Linked DNA regions of Oreochromis niloticus. The protein of the gene in region 2 interacts with the protein of the main gene of each other region in a pairwise test. Links are inferred from orthologs where the notes say so. Each region holds a gene or a part of one and is shown on either strand. Other genes may lie near its edges.

Region 1 (7,617 bases), on a different chromosome or scaffold from region 2:
ATCCGCACCGCCAAAGGAGACAAATACACCATGACTGAGGAGTTCTCGTAAGTCCAGGGCAACTTTTCACCACAATTCCCCACCAGTGCACACACACATCACATCACAAGTTGCTAGTTGGATTTAGTAGAACCCTTGCTACATGGAGTATAACTCTAAACAGTATAGCTTCGTGATGGTGTGGCAACACTGTATAAAAACTGGACACCAAATATTGATATGTTATGAAATAAATGGAATAATCTGGGAATATAATGAACAAGAGCGCTCATCTCATGCACCACCATCCTGAGATGATGTTAGCTGAGCAGACTTGGCTTAAATTGGCTCGACTGAAAGCATCCAACATTGAACACAGTTTGCTTTGATGATTTATCACAGTTGTATTATCAGAAACTGACTGCATGTAATTGCCAATTTGACCCCCATTCAGTTACAGATAGTAGTATTTGGGGACTGCATTTAAGCTCTGTCTCATTTTGCAGCATATCTGAAGTAAGAAATTGACCTTATTGGATAAAATGGATATTGACAAAGATTAAAATTGTAATTTGTTGTTGAGAAAAGTATTTATTGCAAAACTTGCCTTATATCAAAATGTATAAATGTGGTGGTCTTGTATCGTGTAGTGTCTGATTGCCACCTCTGTTGCCTAAGAAACTAATCAGTAGATGAGGAACTTACTAAAAGAACAGTGCCTAGTTAATGACTTCCACCTCAAGGAGAATCGTGACTTTACTGACTCGTTGAATCTCTTTCAACAGTCGTGATGGAAAAGCTCTGGAGCGTTTCTTGCAGGACTACTTTGATGGCAAGCTGAAGCGCTATCTCAAATCAGAACCCATCCCAGAGAACAACGATGGACCTGTTAAGGTGAGATCAATTTCTCCTGACACTTGTAAGATTTGTACTAAACATTTTCTTTGTGTATCATGGACATGATTTATGCTTTTAAATATACATTAAGCCTAAAGGGGGCCTAGAATCATTTACAGCTGCGAGTGTTTATTCTCTGCCTCGGCTGGAGTAGCTTTGCTTGATTCATTTAAGAAATAATCGTCATGCTGAGGTTTAGTGCAGTTGCCTAGTTCATCCAGTCTCTGAAGTGAACTGCCTTTAAGTCAACTTTCTTTTTAGAGGCTACATCTTATTTGAAAGATTTCAACAGCGGATGGGTTAAGCTCTGTGCTTAACATGCTATAATAAGTAAATTGCCTCTGTCATACATATTCAGAACAGGAAACCGTATTTCCTGAGACCAGCAGTCTTGGGAAAAAGTGAGCTGACAAACAAACACTGATGCCAAACGATGAATAAATGCAGCGTGAGGATGTGCAATTATCCTGGATACTCTGCTTAATTCAGTGACAGCGCATAATCACAACTCGTATAATCAGTCTACAACACACACCCCCACCCCCTTCCCTTCACACTCTCGCCTCATGTTTTGACAGCTTTAATGGAGATTAAGTTTTACTGTTGCCTAGGACTAGAGATAAAGCCTAAGGCCGTTTGTCCACTGCAGGAGCTATCGGGCAGTTAAATTATTCCTAATAGTGGAACCCAGCACTCTGGATTGGGAACAGCAGAACAAATTGGAAAGATGGTTAAAGAATAGTTTAAATGGATCAGTGAGAGACTGCGATGCTGGTGGGGTACAAAAGTAGTGAATCAGAGGTCAAAAACTTTCAGAAACCAGAAAGATCATTCAGTTCATTTGGAAGCAATGATTTCATCATCTTACCTCATCTGGGTTACTGAGTATGCATCAGCACATTAGTAGAAACAGACAATAGCCTTTGAGTGGAGGAAGTTCTGGGTACTTCAGGTGGAAAAATGGCTGCAGTACAGAACCGGCTCTAATACCTGCAATGTCTCTTCAGGTTGTGGTGGCTGAGAACTTCGACTCCATCGTTAACGATGACAGCAAAGACGTGCTGATTGAATTCTACGCTCCGTGGTGCGGGCACTGCAAAAGCCTGGAGCCCAAATACACAGAGCTGGGAGAGAAGGTGAGGGAGCGATCCTGACCTGCTGCTTGTTCAGATCTTGCACATTAAAACAATAACACGTTCTTAATTAACTTATCCAGAACGTGGCTTTAAGTCATGTGACCTCCAGGTTTAGCTTGCTCTTCTTCTGGCCTGCATCACCCAGCCTGTAGACTAGTCTAACGTGTGGATGTTAAGGTTTAGTGAACTGTCTTGCAAAAACTTAACAATTTGCCCTGTTTGTTTCTAAAGCTGGCCGATGATCCCAACGTCGTCATTGCCAAGATGGATGCCACAGCCAATGATGTGCCATCTCCATATGAAGTCAGCGGGTGAGTGCTGAGTCATTTAATGTGACGATAAGGCCTGGACTGTTTTTATTTTAATTAAAATGAAGCTTTATGGTTCGCCCCCCCTGTATGTGACATTAGAGTGAATTTAAAGACCATATGTGTCTGCCATGGTGACAGAGCATACAGTATGTTCCCTTCAACATAACTTGGAGACTGTTCCTGTATTCCCTCGAGTGATAAGTGTTAAACAGAGCCTGCCTTGGGCTACATATCTTCATCACAGATAAAAGGGGGGGAAAAGCTGAACATTGCACATGAAACAGCAGACATCCTGAAGCGTAATTACAGACTGTGATTATGATTAGCTGTGAGCTATGTAAGAAGCTTGACTTTGGGAAAGGTGAAGGAACTCAGGTTAACATGCATGCACCTGTGCAGTTTGATACATGAAATCATAATCTTTGTCCTCAACCTCTGTTCTAGATTCCCTACAATCTACTTTTCTCCAGCTGGACGCAAGTTGAGCCCAAAGAAATATGAGGTGAGTGTCTGCTAAAGTGCCGTTCACAGCAGCAAAGTGATATCTGTGCTTTGCTGATGAACCCTCTGCTTTCGCTGCAGGGAGGTCGCGAGGTGAGCGACTTCCTCTCCTACCTGAAGAGGGAGGCCTCAAACCCGCTGGTGATGCAGGAGGAGCCCAAGAAAAAGAAGAAGAAGAAGTCAGAGCTATAAAAGCTCCAAACAGGAACTCAGCAGCACCCCTCCCTACCTCCACCACCACAACAGGAGGATTGGGGAAGAAAAAGAACTAAATTATATTCCTCTCTTAGTGAACTACCGAATGGTCTGAAGTCAAAGACGTGGCCCTTCCTTTAGGTCCTCGTTGTGCTGGGAATGCTGTGGAAGGTGGAGAGGTTTTGGCCAGGGTCTGCCCAATATTTCAAAACCAATTTTTAGGGAAGATGGGATGACTTTTTAAAACATGAGATTTCTATTTCCCCTGGTCTGTCTACTACACCTCAGGCTGATGCACTTTGGTTTGATACAGCCTGTCATCTGTCGCTTTAGTTTCTTGTTGTTGTCATCAAAGGGGATCACGGTAATGGTGAAATTTTCTTTCTTTTTTTTTTTCTTTTTTTTTTTTTTTTGTAACATGCCTTTGATTTTGTACATTTGGAAGGATTGTGAAATAAAAAGGCCCACAAAACCAAAATGAACTCTGAAGTCTTTTCTATATCAACTCAAACGCTTGTTTGACACACACTTAGACATAGATGATCATTTTAATTGGAAATTAATATTTGGTGGCTAAATGTGAACAAGTGATGTATCTGTAGTGAAACTGAGACTTAAGCAGGCTTTTGTGGTGTTGTGTGGTTTTTTTTTTTTTTTTTTTTTTTTTTTTTTTTTTTTTTGGGGGGGGGGGTTTTGAAGATGTAAAACCTAATTTGAGTTATTTGGTTATATTTACCTTAAATATCACTAAACCAGCCTGCCTTGGGCTGGAGAAAGTTATCCCTATCACAAAATACTATAAATATAAGCCAAATAATCGGTGCATCTACATCATTTTTCTGATATTTACTGAACTGTAGCTTTTTTTCGGGGGGGATACAGTTCACATGTTGGAAATCTAGATGTTAACCTTGATTAGATGGAAGCTAAAATTGAGATGGATTCCAAACTCCATCACAAAGGGGGAAAATGCCACCACATTTTGTAAAGGGGGACATTTATAGTCCTACAGTTAATAATGTGGGATTCACATGAGATTTATTTCAGATTTAGTACCTCTCCACTGAGTGCAAAGAAAGGGAGGTGTTTTGTTAATGGGACATTTCCAAACCCTTAGTCTATATTACAGGTAGCTAATGCTAAAATCTGTAGTCTTTTTTTCATGTGTTTTTGGCAGCGGTCTGAATAACGGACCGTGTATAATATACAAGATAAGATCACTTTATCGTCTCCAGTAGGAGATCAGAGAGCAGCTACAGTCCCATAAAAAACTGATATAATGTTGCTGCAAATACCAAAAACCCAGAGTATCTGGAGGAAATGAAGACACTGATGGATTCTCAGACTTTTCTTGTGTATTTATTTTTTTTTAAATATTTGTCACGCTTACATGTTTTACATCATCAAACAAAGTCTAATATTAGACAAAGACATTATTGGACAAAGCATAATGCTGGTTTTAAATGGGAATTTCATTGGGTACGCACCCAACCAATAGGCGGCGACTCCGCAAGTGAGTTTGTCTGAGAAAACTAAAGAAGAAGAGATTGAGCCAATGGGATTAAAGAGTAGAGGAGATTTGTCCGGGCATGTTCAGACCCTACACGTGCTGCTTCAGAAGGTAACGTAAGATTTTTTTCCTCTTTTTTCTCAATTCATTTCCCTTCTTGTGTTTGTCAGCGTTCAGAAATACGTCGTTTATGCTGTAATGTATCTCAAGGGGCGTTGTGTCTTATTTTTAACGGCTCGCTGGGTTTGTTTTTTTTATAATCAAACTGAGAGACAAACTGTTTAAATACGTGGAATTTCCAGCTGAATTTAGTCGCATGCAAATTCTTCGTACATGAGCTTCGTTTTTTTTCTGAAATGTTGCCGGCTAGTGTTTGATTTCAAAAGTGCCTAGCGCGTTTTTGTAAACAACTTTAAGCTTTTACAATCTATCAAGGCCTCGCCATATCCTGATCATCCAGGCGGGTGATGTTTGGATGATGGGTGTTTTGTATATACAGCCTGAATTGTATGCTGGATCCATTATTTATCCAGTTCATGACTAACATGAAGACTAGCGAGGAAAAGGTTTTTAAACTTTAACTTGACACCGCCATCACATTTATGCCACTAAGAAGAGTCAAACTCTGCACTTATGGACTGTTTGTAATGTGTTACTGTCAGGTATGTGGCCCTTAAAGGCACCCGTATGTATGGCCACGTGTCAAGATTATTGTGGCTGGAGAATTACGATGTTCAGGTGGTATCAAATACGTTAGTCTCAAACTTTTTTGCTTTACTGTCTTCATAGTGCATGAAGTAAAAATCGGGGCTATACCAAAGTGATTTACTTTCGCATTAGCTAAAATTCACTTTCAGGTGTACCAAAATGCGACTATGCAGGGACAGTCCTCTTTGGGTGTTTTTCCAATCCTAAAAACATCAAGAATTCCTCAGACTGTTTGCAAAACATCGATACAGCCTATGGGTCTGAAAAGCGAAGCAAGTGCGCAAAGTGCCTTACATTTGCATTTATTAATTCATTCATCCCTTATGTGATCTGGTCCATTTAGGGATCACCACATCTCCCTTCATTTCACCCTATTCCTTGGATCCTCTTTTATCACCCCAGCCCCTTTCTCTGCATGTCCTGTTTCACTACATAATTAATCTACTCTGTGGTCTTTCTCTTTTCCTCCTGCCTTGCAGCTTCATCTTCTCCAAGATATCCACTCTCCTGCTCATGCTCAAACCATCATGTTCAAAGTCTCTAGTTTCAGGTCATTCCAGATGAAATTTGAATTTCTGGTTATTGTATTAGTATTAGGAATTGCACTGGGTGTGGTCTGGCCTTAGCCAATCATTTCCTCCCAAGATGGTGCTTGTGATTCCACCAGACCTGCTTCATGTCACTGGTTCTATTGATGCTGTGTAAAAAGCAGATAAAGAGGGAAGCCGAGCAAAGGATGGAACTAACCTCATGTGAAACATGCTGTTAATAGAATAATCCTTTAATTGTCCCACAAGGGGAAATCTGGTAGGTAATTTGTGCCTGGTGTATTCCTCAGGTTATCCAGGATATGCTATCCGGCTAACGACTTGTCAGTCCCCATGTACTGTGCATTGTACAGGAATAGTTCATTAACAATATTTAAAATCATTTTCACGTCATCTCAATAATCTGCAGTTCATGATGAGCCACATTTTTAAATAATGGTGATCACTATCCTGACTTTTGTGTTATTTCCTCAGACATGACTGTGAAAACTGTTTCACGAATCAATGATGGCGGAGTCATCAAACAGGAGAAAAGCCTCCTCACGAGGTCTTCTCAGCAATTATCGGTATCTGTGTAAAAAAGCCATGGTGCTCTGCGCCATGGAGAATGCAAGAGCCAGGAAGAGGCATCAGGAAAAGAGGATAATCGCCAACATGAAGATGAAAAGGACGGCCGCCCACCATGAATCACTTGATACAAGCGTATTGATCAAAAGGTCTAAAATGAGCGCTCCGGACCAGGAAAATCAAAGCACTTTGAACTCTGAAAGCACTGATCTATCCAAACATGCATCAGGGTCTGGAACAGCTAACCACCACTCTGTGATTGCGGCCCTTGGAGACCGCTGGGAGATGGACAGTGGCTTCTCCTCTGAAGCCAGTCCTCCAGCCAGCGGTCGAAGTTCGCCGTGTTTCAGCTCCTGCCCGACCACAGTGGTGGCGTTGGACTGTGAGATGGTGGGGACAGGGCCTGGAGGACGTTGTAGCGAGCTGGCCCGTTGCAGCATCCTGGACTATCATGGGAACGTACTGTATGATAAATACGTGAAACCATGTCAGCCTGTCACAGACTTCAGGACTCGCTGGAGCGGCATCCGAAGGCATCATCTCCTCAACGCCACACCCTTCGTTCAAGCCAGAGAAGAGGTACGTCTGAGTGTTTGTAGACAACGGTGATGAAAGATTTAACCTGGGCTCTAAATAGAGACTGCTCTCCTGGAATAATCTGGTGGATTGAGGATGTGAATATGTATCCCAAAAAAAAAGGGGGGGGGGAGGGGGGGGTGTAAGGAAGAAAAACTTCAGTTTAATCATCTTAGGAGAGACTGTCATTATGAGGGGGGGGGGGGGGAAATGTATATCAGACTTTTGTTCTATCATGTGCCCGACTTTAGTTTTTATTTGAAGAAAGTGGAATCCTTACTTTAAATTTTTATCCCTCAGCCGATAACTTTGGTGTTATCGTCACCCCCTGGCAGTGCGATAGGGTGATGCTCAAATGAACACAATAGGTGCATTAACTAAAAATCTTGGCCATCCCTTTTTTCTTTTTTCTTCCTTTTTTTTGTGTAGTAGCAGGTTAAAACTGTAAGCATGCTTGGTCTTGCTCTTTATTTGTCTATTTTAACATGTTGACTGCATGAGGATACGTTCATGGTTGAAGCCAATTAGGGCTGCAGGGCTTTGTCGCAATAATCAGTGACATTGTCTATTAAAATTTACAGCGTAAATGTGGAAATGCAATGCACTACTGGAAGCTAATCGGGGCAGTACCGCTTATATCGTCTGCCAAGACTAAGCTCAATACTAACGAAGAAGAACGTAGTGCGAAC
Region 2 (7,234 bases):
TCACAATTATCTCAATGTGCAGGTTTTTGGACAGCAGGAGGAAACCAAAGAGCCCAAAGGAAACTGACCTGGGCATAGCAAGAACATGCAAACTCCACGGCAAAAGGTCCCAGCCCACGAAGACAGAGATTAAAACCCACAACCTTCCTGCCGCGAGGCGCCTCCGTAGGCTCTTACATTTGCTTTTTTGAAAAGCAAATGATCTCTAAACACTACATTTCCATCTGAACTGTAGTGAAGCGGGAGCATGAAGCAAACTGTGTGTCCGGCAATTCACATAGCCGGTTGCTTTCCACCGCTGGTGACGTTTCACCTTGAAACCACAACCAAATATCCTGCCCCCCGGCGAACAGGAGCTAGTGGAAAATCTGTCCGTAACCTCCAAACATGTCCTAGTAGCGGCGAGAACACAGGCAAGGCTGCAGAAAGTTTCTTTGCAGCTTATGATTGATGTTTCAGTGAACATCCTGAGACTGCATCACATGTTTTTTTGAGGTCATGTGCTATTTCCTGTTGCTCCTGACCAAAGACTGCATAAACAGTCTAGCAGTAAGCCTGTATATCCACCATCCCAGACTTTATTCAGTTGTATTGTCAGTATTTTCATTTAAGGACCACATGGGATTGAGAAGCTGCTAAGCCTCAAAGAATTTCTACCTGCTCTGTTAAAAGGGGAAAAAAATCAGCAGTTGCCATATTTTGGTATGAGAATGCGTTAATTTGATTACACTGGAAAATATCAGCTCTTGGAAGAGCATTTGCATCATCCTTCCAAAAACAGATGTCAAGCAGCTGCAGTAAAAATGTCCAAAAATGGGATTCATATTCCCAATTTAATCTGACAGCGTTAGAAGCTGCGCATAACCAAAAATTATGCACGTAGGAGCCGAATGAAGTTCTTTTTATTGGCCTGACAGGCCGAAAAAAGAAAAGAGAAAACAGCAGAAATGGATTAGAGAAATAAAGAGGCTGCGACCGGCGTTGTAACTAATGTCATCGAACTTTCCAGGGAGAGAAAGCCTCTTCCAGCCTTAGTCATAACCCAACGGAGAGTTTATAAATCTCTCGCCTGCTGCAGATTTAAAATGTCTAAATAACGTACACCCTGATATTTCCACATCTCGCCACTGCATCATGAGACGGCTGTATTTTTCCAGGCGAAAGCTTGAACACGGAGGGCGCGAGCAGCCAGTAAAACTTATTTGGGCATGCAGTTGCCGAGTCCTGCCAGCAGCATATAGCAAAAGACATAAAACTCCAACCGAAAACCTGATGTAGACAAACTGTGCTAAGTGTTCATAAAATATCTCCAGCCAGGGAATGTTTGACGGAGAGATTAAGGAAGGCAGAGTGGAGCTCTTTTTAAAATGGAGGGCAGCCCTGCTTCGAATGCTTTCCCTGTAGCGTTACTGCATTCTGACATATGCCTTCTGTTTTAATCACAGATAGAAAAATGAGCTTCCGATCATTCCCAAAGCGCACGGAGGTCAGAGGTCAGGCTCAGCTTACGTGAAGCTGATGGGAATTGGGCCTTGTACTTCTTCTCTATGGCACTCCTTTTTAGGTTTGAAGGCTCAAAAGCAGGGAAGCCAATCTCATTTTACATAGTAGGCCACATATAACCCACCTTGATCTTAAGTGGGCTGAACTGGTGAAACTGCCCTTTCAGTCAGTGTAAAGAGATTTAACTACACATTAAATGCCAGAGATGTCTTAATATAGGAAAAGGAAGTGTAATTTCAACAGCATGTCTCAGTTTTTCCACACGATAAAGAAATGTTGCTTCAGTTAATGAAAGAAATCTGTCAGCACGACTCTTTGGGTATACATTGTAAGAAATAAACGTGTAAAATTACAGAAACAGTTCTAGTATCTCACTGCCCAGACTGTCCTGTAATTATAAAATAGAAAGTTTTATTAATTTATAGTCCTAATATTTCCTTTTCTTCTTATTGTTACTGTACTGTTGAAACATTGTGAAAAAGCAGAAACTTTAACTGTAATTAAATGATTAATCTATTACTTAATTACTTTGGTACAGTATGAATGATCGGGGGTGGGGGGTCTTTATTACCTGTAAAAGTCTTAAAATGCATTTAAAAGTCAAAAATTTACACCCTCCTTCATATTTTCTAAAGCTATCCAATCAGCCAGACTGGAGTCTTTGCCAGACTGATTCTGGCCCCCGGGCCTTATGTTTGATACCTATGCTCAAGAACATAGTTCCTGCTGGGTGATCAGAGGGAACATGTTATCTTCAGCTTTAAAACTCCTGCTGTTACAGCCTCACTGAAATAACCCTGAGCAGTGCCCTTTACTGTGCAGCATAATCCAGCCTAATACAGTCACATTGTGTGTCATAAAACATAAACCTAATTATGATTAGCCAACAGTCAACACTGTTTTATGGAAACTCCAACTCTGTCAGAATATCATAGAAACACATATAAATGAAGGCTAAAACTCCCAGTCTGCATCAGTTTCACTGGACAACACCACAGTAAAATGTACTACCACAACAATAACAATAACATCACAAATTAATTTTCCGGCAAACCAAAATCTTGCTTCACCTCCTGAACCTGTAATAACAGGAGCATGAATTACAGTTTTGTGACCCTGCGTCAAGTGTTTCACTAGAAGGCAAACTGAGGTTTAATCATGCAGGGAAATAAGTGAAAGGACAATCAGTCAGGGCTGATTATACAGCTACAATGAGGAATACGCCACTGCGATGTTTTAGGTGGACACCGAAGATTGTCCTTGTAAGGATGTTTAACTTTCATGTTTCTTATGGAAAAATTCTAAAATGTGTAAAATATCAAATGTGCCGTTGATAAAAATTAAGAATGGGAATTACTTGTGTTACAACAGGATCACAATATTTAGTGGCAAGTTATTCTGTGATACTCTATACATTATAAGACAGCAGCATTATCTGTGTAACAGGGAAAATGACACTTGTAAAATGGGAAAAAAAGAAAATATGTATTAAGTTACTGCATTGTGATATTAGTGTGCTTACTTTATCATCATAACACAGTTTTAATATTGTATGTTACTTAATATGGTGTCAGTACAATTAATCAGTTCTCTAAATCACTTTCATTTTTTTTTTCTACTATAACTCAGTTCACTTTACTTTCTTTCTCCAAAATGAGTCATGAAGTTCTAATTCTATTTAGCCAAACTGGTGATATTTGGCATATCAATAAGTTATAACAAGAAGGATCCATGTAATATATTGCTGTATGGATATTTTGTCCCACCCCTACTGGTATTGCTAAAGACAGACAGTAATAAGGACATAACTGAGCAGCTAATACAATAAGTGAAAAGAACAAAATGAATAAACAGATTCACAGACAAGCATAATCTAGAAAACAGTAAATAATTATTTCTAAAGGTTTAGGCTGATTAATTTGTTTTATGTACACAAATATCTTTTTGTGGACTTTCCATTTGGGATTATCTAGTTTTAACATAAACCACTTAATACTCTTAATGCAGTGCATGTTAGTTAGTTAAACATATAACAGGTAACCACTGTGTTTCATTAGTGCGTATTAACTGCTTGTTTATACACTTTAAAATAGCTTATGCTTGTTACCCATCTATTTGTATGTTTTTTTAAATGGAGATTTGATTTTAATATGACTAGAATATACTTGGATAGTAAAATAATATTTGTAGTTAGTATTACTGTCAAATATTGGTCATATTTTCTTCTTTGAAACTGACAAATCATGATTAGTGCTTCGAATGTGGTTCAAATTATTATAAGGCCTACTGCTGCTGCTAATACTGATGCGACTACTAGTAGATATTTTAAATAAAATCTATGTGAGAATTTTAAAACAGTAAAATCGGTAGAAATATAAGATTAACTGACCTAATTTTGGGTCTACAGACTTTTTAATCATTTATTTTCAATAAACTGCTATTAATACAGTGTGTAGTGTCCCCATGACCATTAAAATTATTTGATTTTATCCATAGAAAATTAAGTAAAAACTAAACTAAACATAACTGTACAAATAAGTCTTCTCAGACATTTCAAGATGCCCACAGGGACTTTACTATACACTTACTCGTATTAAATTACTAATTTAAATTTTGCTAATCCTGCCGTTCAGCCAGTATTTTCCCGGGACGTTGTCGTAATTTTGCCAATGGCGCCATCTTTCGGATCATATAGTAAATGACGCTTTATCCGAGCGACTGTCCTACGTCATAACTATGCGCCAGTCTCTCTAGTCTCGACAACGTGACGAAAACATGGGGAGTCAGTTTTCCTTCTGACAGATAGTTTCTTCTTTCTGAGGTCCTCGCGCCACTTAAACCGACATTTGAGAGTCAGAGTGTCATTTTGAAGCTTGCTGGGAGCTGCAGAGCGCGAGGCCGTTCAAACGTCACGTGAACCGAGCTTTTTTTGCGGTTGTTTTGCTAGCAGCATGGATAACTCCGAGGAAAGTGCCATTGAGCTCCACGGGGATGAGGAAATTATTGAAGTCATCGACCTGAACGACACGGAGCCTGGCCCAGGTGGGTCTCGGCAGCACCTGTTCCGTCTCCTCTCCCGTGACAGGCGGGGCAATAGCAGAGATAGATCAGGTGACCGTCATGGGCTGTGCTCTTTCTCTCGCAGATGATTTGGCTGATGACTTGGAGGACGTCGACTTCGATGACGCGGGAAACGCAGGTGATGACAATGACGGCTGGGAGACTGAGGACGAGATGGAGGCTGAGGCAGAGCAGGACGACAGCGATCTCACCTTCTCCAAACACACCGGTGAAAACCTCCCTCGTGTCTCTGCTGCTGCTGCTCTCTGATTACTCCTGGCTGCTTAAGGTTTAAAAAGGTCTGACCCCCTTTTTTTTCTTCCCAGGCTCGGTGTTCTGTGTGAGTTTGGACCCAGCGACCAACAACTTGGCTGTGAGCGGAGGGGAGGATGATAAGGCCTATGTTTGGAGGGTGAGCGATGGGGAAGTTCTGCTGGAGTGCGCAGGTGAGTGTAGAGATCAGAGATGATCACATAAAGCTTTTTACCATGGCAATTAAAACATAAGCACCAGCACAGCATGGTTAAAAGAACAAAATGTGTGAGAGTTTAGTTACAGTTTGATTTGGCTTCGTTTGTGGATGCAGGCGGGGAGCAAACATGGGTGTCTTTACAAAAACCCTTCCTTTCCTGCTTTTCCAGACTTAAACACAATCCTGGTATTCTCAAATAAAACAAAAACAAAATAAAATAACAACCCCCCCCCGGGTAATTAGCATTTCCAATTACTCTGGGAAATAGGCATCATAGCAGATGCTAACAAGGGTGGGAGAAAAAATTGATACAGCACAGTATCGCAATTCTTTTTTTTTTTTTTTTGTATCAATTTGGGCTTGGCTGTGGCTCAGAAGGGTGAACAGGTTCTGTATGTCCAAGCTTCCTTAGTCAAGATGCTGAACTCGAAACTGCTGCTGGTGCATCCATCAGAGTGTGAGTGAAGGCAAATCCTCAGAGGCAGACTAAAGCTCTGTATGAATGTGTATGTGAATGGCTCAATGTGGCTTTGTGTGCTCTTTTGGAGTAAAAACGCACTAGTGCATTTATTTGCATAGGCCTGAGCACTGTGTTGACATCAGCCATGTGTGAAATGTGTCCACACGAGTATTTTCAGATTGTTTACATAAAGCTGTGGACACACTGTGATGTCTCAAATGGGCAGGAAAATGGCCAAGTGTCTTTTCTGTCGACCTCAAGCAAAATGGGAAAAAAATCATCATGTTCATTAAGCTGCTCTTTGCCCTCTGATCCTACACAGGTCACAAAGACTCAGTGACGTGTGCCATGTTCAGCCATGACTCCTCCCTGGTGGCGTCCGGAGACATGAGCGGCTTGATTAAAGTCTGGAAAGTAGAAACTAAAGAGGAGATCTGGTCCTTTGAAGTGGGAGATCTGGAGGTAAGGGTATGACTCTGTGTGTGTCTGTGTGTGTGTGTGTGTGTGTGTGTGTGTGTGTGTGTCTGTGTGTGCGCGCACCTCTGTGGGCTATGAGAGTGCTGAAAGAATTTATAAGGACTAAAGAGAAGATGATTGCTCTGACTGAGAATCTGTGTGAGTTGCTCTTTTCTCAAATTGTACAACCTACAGTGATTATAAAGTCCAGTAACTTGCCACTACAAACAAATGCAGTGGAGGAAAGTGTGTGTGTGTGTGTGTGTGTGTGTGTGTGTGTGTGTGTGTGTGTGTGTGTGTGTGTGTGTGTGTGTGTGTGTGTGTGTGTGTGTGTGTGTGTGTGTGTGTGTGTAATAGCTGTTGCTTTCTATCTCAGTGGTTAGAGTGGCATCCCTGTGCTCCTGTGCTGCTGGCGGGAACGAATGATGGCAGCGTGTGGATGTGGAAGATCCCCGCAGGAGACTGTAAAACCTTCCAGAGTCCTGCCTGTCAGGCCACCAGCGGCAAAATCCTCCCTGATGGTGAGAGATGGGATACAAAAAGTCACCCCAAACAGTACCCCCAAAACCTCCCCACTTTTAACCACCTACAGTTAGAAAATTCTGTGTGAAAGCAGCTCTTGCCGTTATTTTGTATGCTATAATTTTATGGATGTGGTTTTAAATGGATAAAACTGTCATTTTGTGCACTGTTTTACCTTTAATGCTCCTCAGTTCTCAAAAGTCATGTAGTATTAGGGCTGTGCGATATGACCAAAATTTCATATCCCGATATAAGGCATTTATCGTCCCAACAACGATGTATAATAACAAAAATTTTACATTTTCTGTAAATTCTGTGAATCTCGGGCAACTCAACTTGCCTGAAGTGCTTTCAGCTGGGCGCCGTGCGTTACATAAGTTGAAATGGCCTCAATTTTCTTTGTGAGTATTTATTACACGGCGTGCTGCGGGGAAAAGCCTGTTCTAAGCTTTATTTATTTTTTTTACCACCTGACGGCTCTTTTTAGCTTCTCATGCGTAAACACTCTGCATTCTATTTCACTTGATTCAGTTTATTTTGAAAAATCTCAACAGGATCTTCAGCTTTATTGTGAAAGGTTTATGTGGAAAATAAACATGCGGACTGCGGAGCCACGCGATGGTTTTACCGTCGTTGTTGCTAATGACAACGCATAAAAACAATCGCTTGTCCGTCTGTAGTGTGGCTATATTAGATATAAGAGGAAGAGAGAACTTAAGGAAATTATACAGTGACCATCAAAACGATGAAAAAATATTGCC

Evidence for each region.
Region 1: the proteins of aamp (region 2) and apoptosis-enhancing nuclease interact in binary tests that used the Homo sapiens proteins (3 or more experiments, as listed by UniProt). The link is inferred for Oreochromis niloticus from reciprocal best matches to the Homo sapiens genes AAMP and AEN.

The regions. Positions count from the first base shown.
Region 1 is NC_031972.2:43,593,122-43,600,738, forward strand, and holds the start of apoptosis-enhancing nuclease, read left to right. Parts: upstream 1-4,489; 5' UTR 4,490-4,640; intron 4,641-6,259; 5' UTR 6,260-6,289; coding exon 6,290-6,931; intron 6,932-7,617. Other genes in the region: pdia3 (protein disulfide-isomerase A3), read left to right, coding at 1-47, 765-873, 1,884-2,012, 2,244-2,323, 2,768-2,825, 2,906-3,016. UniProt on the Homo sapiens protein: Exonuclease with activity against single- and double-stranded DNA and RNA. Mediates p53-induced apoptosis.
Region 2 is NC_031986.2:14,259,407-14,266,640, forward strand, and holds the start of aamp (angio-associated migratory cell protein), read left to right. Parts: upstream 1-4,231; 5' UTR 4,232-4,454; coding exon 4,455-4,545; intron 4,546-4,648; coding exon 4,649-4,792; intron 4,793-4,889; coding exon 4,890-5,009; intron 5,010-5,817; coding exon 5,818-5,957; intron 5,958-6,327; coding exon 6,328-6,472; intron 6,473-7,234. UniProt on the Homo sapiens protein: Plays a role in angiogenesis and cell migration. In smooth muscle cell migration, may act through the RhoA pathway.